2 linked regions of the Arabidopsis thaliana genome follow. The protein of the gene in region 2 interacts with the protein of the main gene of each other region in a biochemical or structural test. Each region holds a gene or a part of one and is shown on either strand. Other genes may lie near its edges.

The links.
Region 1: the proteins of LSD1 (region 2) and GILP form a complex in vitro, tested with the Arabidopsis thaliana proteins (one study listed by BioGRID).

The regions. Positions count from the first base shown.
Region 1 is NC_003076.8:4,204,802-4,208,555, reverse strand, and holds the start of GILP (GSH-induced LITAF domain protein), read left to right. Parts: upstream 1-2,097; 5' UTR 2,098-2,350; coding exon 2,351-2,544; intron 2,545-3,261; coding exon 3,262-3,493; coding exon of another isoform or gene 3,494-3,569; 3' UTR 3,570-3,754. Other genes in the region: AT5G13200 (GRAM domain family protein), read right to left, coding at 477-677, 768-1,042, 1,133-1,475. UniProt on the Arabidopsis thaliana protein: Acts as a membrane anchor, bringing other regulators of programmed cell death (PCD) to the plasma membrane. Negatively regulates hypersensitive cell death.
Region 2 is NC_003075.7:11,002,460-11,006,213, forward strand, and holds the start of LSD1 (LSD1 zinc finger family protein), read left to right. Parts: upstream 1-2,057; 5' UTR 2,058-2,255; intron 2,256-2,375; 5' UTR 2,376-2,437; exon of another isoform or gene 2,438-2,552; coding exon of another isoform or gene 2,553-2,567; coding exon 2,568-2,691; intron 2,692-2,780; coding exon 2,781-2,885; intron 2,886-2,970; coding exon 2,971-3,002; intron 3,003-3,097; coding exon 3,098-3,143; intron 3,144-3,374; coding exon 3,375-3,514; coding exon of another isoform or gene 3,515-3,535; exon of another isoform or gene 3,536-3,614; coding exon 3,615-3,686; intron 3,687-3,754. Other genes in the region: TSF (PEBP (phosphatidylethanolamine-binding protein) family protein), read right to left, coding at 306-506.

The DNA.
Region 1 (3,754 bases), on a different chromosome or scaffold from region 2:
TAAGAGGGGGTGTTGAAAGTTAAACTTGATTTTGAATCAAGTTTAATTATTGGATCAATTATCCAATAATTAATTATGGCCAAATCCAAGTTCTAGAGTTTTCTCTAGAAATATCATCATTTCCACCTCCTTAAAAGATTCTAGAAATTTTCTAGAATCATCTTCCACCTCCTTAAACATAAAAATCTAGATACTCTAATAGAATAATCTAGATACTCTAATAGAATAATCTAGATAATTTGAATAATGTAATCTAGATCTTATGTAAGAACTCTCTAGACTTAGGATTAAAATATTTTAGATATTTTGTAGTTTGGAGGCTATAAATACCTCCTCCCCCTCTCAAATGTTGCAATGTTGTGAAGTTGTATTCAAAGTTTAAAGCAAAGTAATAAAAGTTCTATTTCCTAAAAAACTCTCTCAAAACACTTAAACACTTTCTCCATTACCTCTAAAAGAATTTTACTCTAACAGTTTTAACCAGACACAGAGCCGTGTGCGGTTTGAAAATCGGAGACACTGGTCAGCAGATGATGCGTAGCCTTCTCATAATTCACAAAACCCATGAACCAGAAGTCATGACCATCCACCGTCGTCAACTGAATATACTTCTCAGGTGGAGTCTCTTTCACCACCACCGGATTCACCGTCGCTACATTCGCCAAAGGTACAACCACCTGCCACAAAACCAAACACCAAACAACATTAGACCTACGTTAAAAACAATCTCCAAATTCATTCTTTTACAAAAGCAAGACTTTACTTACCCTGTAGTAGCTCCAAGATTCTTGACCAGAAGGTGCTGTGAAGTACAGAGGACGATCGCTACAAAAAGCGACACGAGCATTCGAAAGATAGACAGTTCCAGCAACAGGACCTGTCGTCGTCGAGAGATAACAAGCGAAAGTTTTCTTCAGCGTCTCGTTTGGCTCTGTTCCGAAAATCTGTCTGAAAAGCGACTCGAATCCTCCTTTTGTTATCGCTTTGGCCGTCAAATTAACCTTCCCCCACGCCGTTTCCGACATAGACGGTCCTGTCTTCACTGCAAAAAAAAAAAAAAAAACCAACAAAATTCGTCAAAGACTCAAACTTGCTTTGTCCAAATGCTCCAATTAAGTGGAAGGAGACTTACGATTGTGCCAGAGGTTACGTGCGACGGTTTCTGCCTTGCGACTCCAGGTATGGAACATTCCGATGACTGGCTCGAGAGGGTTGTTAGTTGTTGGATGTTCGACAGGAGAGTAGATGACGTACGGTTGGTACTGCGTCTGCTGGTTATCTCCAGCGACCCACGCCGCCGCCTGTTGGTTATCGGGATGAGCAACTGGAGCTGCCGGAGCTCCCATCACGTGAGTACCCCATTTCTTCTGATCCGGAGACGATGAAGAAGGTTCTGGTTGGTGCTCTGTTTCTAGAGTTTTGGGTTGCTCTTGATCAATGATGATCTTAGGTTGGTCTTCTTGTGATCCTGTCATGGCTGAAATTTTCTGAATTTGGTTGATGATTCTGAAACGTTCTTCGTCTTCTATTGAAATGGATGTGATGGATTGTGTTGAACTTGGTTTTTTAATTTATAAGATTGGATTATACATATATAAAACGCGGTTTTGATGATGTTACCTTTGGGATTAAGAGTTGGACTATTTTAGGCTGAATTTTGACATTTAGTTTAATCCTTAACCAATAAGATAAGAACACATAATGGTTTTAGAATGTTCTTGATAAATACAAGATTTTAGAAAAGTCTCTGTGTCATTCAATGATTACATTTTGCTGAATCTTCTTGTAATTACAGTAATGAAGAAGATAATAAATAAGGTGATTGTGACATGGACTCTCTGCTATGTCGGCAAAGAGGCCTAAACAACACGTTCTTCTTTTGTAGTCCAACACGTTCTTCTTTTGTAGTCCATCGCTTGTTTGTTACCGTCAAACTCAAACTTCACTTTTAAAAACGAACCTTGCAATTTAGACGAAAGCTAGAACGAACAGGTCTAAGACAATTATTAGGCCTTTTGAGCCCAATATCTGTATTAAGTATTTAAGTTTATAAACAAAAGGCCCATTAAGTGTGGAGTCTCTATCTTCTAGAGGAAAGAAAGAATCAAAGAATCGTTGAAATCAAAATTGCGATTAATCTCAAATTAAGTACACACGCGTAATCGTCAGAGATTTGGAACTTTCCTTGAATCTCCATCGTCTTCCGCGTAATTTCCCTGGGAATTTTCATAGCGGAAAGGGAATTAAATAAATACTCTTCGAATCAGCTTCGTCTGTTTCTCTCGTTGTGATTGATTTGCTTTATCTTCGAAATCGTTGAGTTTGACCGTAAAAACTAAAAACAAAGGAGATGGCGAAAGAGGGAACAACGGTGATCGGAGTTCCATATTACGCGGGGCAGAATCCGTATCAGGCCGGAATTGTGCCGCCGAATGCTATCTATGGTGATCCGTTGGGTGCTCCGATTCAGCAAACGATTTATCGAGACACTCCTGCTCCTTTCAATTGCCTTTATTGCGGCAACACTGGTCTCACCAATCTCAGGTATATTCACTTATACGATTTTAGAGTTTATTGTTCGCGAATCGTTCTATGACTCGATTACAAGAAATCATCGAGGAAATGTGCAATCGGCAATTTCGGATCCATGTCAATTGATCTCATACTTGGAAGCAATATAGTAGAAAAATTAGCGCCTCTAATCATTGCCAGTGGTTTAAGGTTTTGAGTATTGGATTTTTGGTTTCAGGATTCTCAAACTTGTTCATTTTGATTGGTGTGTTTCATTAGCTATAGAATGTTTGATACTTCTATATGAACAAGCTGTTATAAAACTTAAATCACTTAAAAGGAAGGCTGAAAGAACTCCATTGATCCAGCCTGTTATTGTTAAGCTTTCTCAACAAATATACTTAAGCTGCAAAGATAAAGCTACCTGCTTTGTGACTCTTTCTGTTGGTAACAACATCTTTTCCTTAGTAGTGGAGTTATTTAGATGGTGCTTCACTTCAGTATCTCTTCTATTTTGATACTGGCGGTGATTGGTTTTAATGAAGTTAGTCTGCTTTACGTTTTCTCGTTTCTCGGCATTCATGTTTAGGGCTTACATTTTTCATTCTACCGAAACAATTTTAAGAGCATGAGACTGTACTATTCCTTTGTGATAACCTGTGGTTTTATGTGAAAATATTCATTGTAACAACCTGTGGTTTACATCTTCTTTGTTTGTGATATATATTTTTTTTTATGGATGTGAAACAGATCGAAACCTGGTGTAGCTGCTGTTGTTGCTTGCATGATGCCGTTTATGCTTGGTTTCTGCTTTCTCTGCCCTTCAATGGATTGCCTCTGGAACAAACAGCACCATTGCCCTCAGTGTGGGAACAAGGTACTTTTATATGTCTTCTTCATGCCTGCTACTCGTGTGCGTTTTTTTTTTCTCTGTATGGAAGATTGTTTCATTCATATGATTGATTTGTTTACAGGTTGCTGACTTTGAGAAATCAGATCCCTGCCTGGTGATGGATCCGCCACAGTGGAAGCAACCTAGTTTCGCACTCCCAGCATGATAAGATGCATTCTTTTCTCTTGTGATTAATATTGCTTGTGAAGTTGAGTCGTTCTGTTGCATGTACTGGAAAAAAACTAAGATCCAGAATAACCCTATAGAATGTGTGAGAAATGAAATATTTATTCTTCTGTATCGTTTCACTGATTCATGAATGAACCGTCTATTGTCTAGTCTCTTGTGCCT
Region 2 (3,754 bases):
AAATAAAAGCGAAACAAAATCAAGTTAACCGTCTCTTGAAAACGTAATATATATAATCGAGAAAGATTCAAAATTGATTTAAAATAATAATCAAACCAATAACAGTTATGCATGCAAGAAGTTAGAGGAAACGCAGCAGGTATATAGATGAGGCTACGAAAGAAAAGAATGATCAAATCTAGTTACGCTTAAATTTGGATATATCTAAGGTTTCTTCGTCAATATATGGAGCTTACGAAAACGAAAGAGTGAGCTACGAGGAACTAAATCAATGAAGATAAGAGGAATGAAGGAGAGAAGATCACCAAGGTGTAGAAATTTCTGAAGTCGTCTCCTCCAATCTCCACTATTGGTTTGTTCAGAACTTGAGAAGGCCTTAGATCCAAGCCATTAGTAACCTCTCTATGGCCATAAGTGACCTTAAGAGAGACCAACCTCGTGAAAGGATCAAGAACATCTCCAACAACACTGCCGACCACAAGAGGATCTCTACGACTTAAAGACATATTTATCTTGGATCTCAAGTATCTCAATCAAATGTTTTGCTTCTTACCTTATGAACCCTTACTTGCTATTCTTTATATAACGTTTTGGGAATTGCAATAATTAGCTATTTAGCTTTATTCTCTCCAATGAAATCATTACCAGGGTCTTTTCGTGTATAGTTTCGAGAATCTACAACTCGTTCAACGTACGTATATCACTTATAATTCATGTTTTTTTTTTCTTTCCTTTTTTCTAAATTTATAGTATTCTTATTCCAAAACCCACCAGTATAAAACAGAAATAATCATATTCCAAATTATACATCATCCACTTGTTTCTTGCTAGCCACTAGTATGTAATTTATTCTGACTTATCATTGTAACTTCATGAACTATTTAAAATAATGTCACAAGCATATAATATGCTGCATATTTGCGTACGTCACGCATTTTGCGTCACATGTCACTCATTTAAATAGTTAAGGACACTACATTACACCGATTATGTATGATGTTAATGCATTTTAGAATAACTCCTTCAACCTAAACCATCATATAAAAGTATATATGCTCCAGATAAATTGACGCCATAATTGTTCACATATCTGGTTGGTGTGTACATACGTACTAGACTCTTTTTTTTCTTTTCTTAATGTAGTACTAAACTTAATTAATACCATCAAAAATATCAATTTAACAAAACAAACCAGTAAAACTTTTAAAACAATGGAGTAAATCAAATAAAACAAGTAAATTAACAAATAGACACAAGGTAACAGAAGTATAATAACGACAGAAAAGTGAACAATTGGCCAAAAAATTCGTTTTCAAACGTGATTTCAAAATTGTCTCCAAATCTTAAATGTTGATAAAGTAATTTTTTTAAAATTCATTATACCTTTCAAAAACAAGTGTATTACCTAAAAGCTCAACCGTGTATTCTTACACTCCAAACAAATTTAGTTCCCCAAGTTTGGAAGACAAAAATTTCTAAGAAATTTCTGACAAAACACATGAGAAATAAACCGATAAAGACTTCTAAAAACTATTGCAGACCAGTTTCATTTGCTGACCACAAAAAGTCATGAGAATACAATTAGCTCAGTGATTCTTGATATTTCTGGTACCTAACAAAAAGAAAAGTGTGTGAGGTTAGATGGCTATGATTTTTGCTCTCCAATTTATTGTCCATTTCCCCAATTTGTAATATGAAATGCGCAAATTACTCTTCTTCCGATATGAATAAGCAAACGAAAACATACGTGGGACGTTATGTTCAGAACATTTGATTAAAGTTTATATGCGATTTTCATTTATTTATTATGAATTTTTTGTTTGGCAGCATGTACGATTTTTCATTTAACACACAAATATTATAGAATTTTCATTGGTTCAAAGGGGTAGACAAAAAATAATTTAATATTATTACACCATTTGCAGAAAATTAGAAAATATATTTTTACCCATAATTAATTGATCTATGGACGTATGCTTGGCATAAAAATTCATATTTAATTAGCAGAAGCCAATCGCTGCGTTTGTATATACGCGTTTATGACCGAGAAAAAAACCCTTACGCGTCATGTAAAAAAAAAAGAAGCGTAAATTACGAAAAACAGAGAGATAAATCCGGGCATTGAGATTTTGGAGATAGAGAGAGAGAAAAATCGAAATCTATTGTCTATCTCCTCAATTTGGATTGGATTTTCTGCATATCATCGCTCTAGCTTTCGCGGGTTTTGGATTCGATTCCTTACCCTTCTCCAATCGGTAAGAACAAGCTCCAAAGTTTGTTCCTTTTTTTCAATTTTCGCCAATTCTGTAATCTCATCATTGTCCTTGTTTGTTTGTTTGATTCAACACACAATTCTTGTTTTGATTTGGATGCAGAAGTTTTTGGCTTTGAATTGGATTTGGGTTTCGTTCCAAAATCAGCTCTTTTTGTTAATCAGGTGAGTTTTTAGGTATTTGAATCTCCAATTGCTTCCTTGCAATGACTAAGTATTGTGAAATGTTTAGGGTTTCATCTGTGTGGGTCTTGTTTTGAAGCAATTTGTGTGTGTTTGGATGAAAGTAGCAGATATGCAGGACCAGCTGGTGTGTCATGGTTGTAGGAATTTATTGATGTATCCTAGAGGAGCATCTAATGTGCGTTGTGCGTTATGTAACACTATCAACATGGTTCCTCCTCCTCCTCCACCTCACGGTATCGATTTCTTTGTTGAATTTGAATTGAGGATGAGGTTAATATGCTCTGCAATTGTATTATAACTTGGGTTCTGATTCTGAATACAGACATGGCACACATTATATGTGGTGGTTGTAGAACAATGCTTATGTATACGCGTGGGGCTAGTAGCGTAAGATGCTCTTGCTGTCAAACTACGAACCTTGTGCCAGGTATATTAATAATATCGTGACATCCATATCAATCCTTTTAAAGACCATGTATTATATTGCTTTATAAGGTCTTTTAGTCCTTTAGAATCTTCTTTCACACTTTTGTTTGATAACATTGTTCTGTGGAGATGATGCTTACGTAACGTATTTCCACTTTTCCCAAAGATGTATATGAATCTGAATTCTGAAAATATCTGGGATTTGTAAAGCAGCTGAAAGTACTTAAAACAAAGCTTTTAGATGGTCCCGGTGGACTAGGTAACTACTTGTTAGAGCTAGTAGGGTTTATTATTGTTTTGTTTGATCTACCATTAGATTCTTATCTTTAATTAGCGTCTAAGCTGTTGTCATTTAGCTGTATGATTATCATTTATCCATGACTGCTTAAGAACATTGCTGATTACTTCGTTCATTAGTATTTCTTGGATTTTTCTAGCATTAACATTGCTTGTTTTCTGAATCTGTGCGTGTCTTTTTTGAAATCGACAGCGCACTCCAATCAGGTTGCCCATGCTCCTTCCAGTCAGGTTGCGCAGATCAATTGTGGGCATTGTCGGACGACCCTCATGTATCCTTACGGTGCATCATCCGTCAAATGCGCTGTTTGTCAATTCGTAACTAACGTTAATGTGATTATTCCTATCTATTAAGCCACCTCTGCATGGTTGAGTTAAGTATAGAGATCTTTCTGTTGGAAATTTTCATTTCTGATTCATTTTGCATCCTTAGATGAGCAATGGAAGGGTACCTCTCCCAACTAACCGGCCAAATGGAACAGCTTGTCCCCCCTCTACATCAACTGTGAGTTATCAAATTATGAATTTGTAATAGTTCTGTATATTCTTATGGAACTGGTACTTACTCTGTTC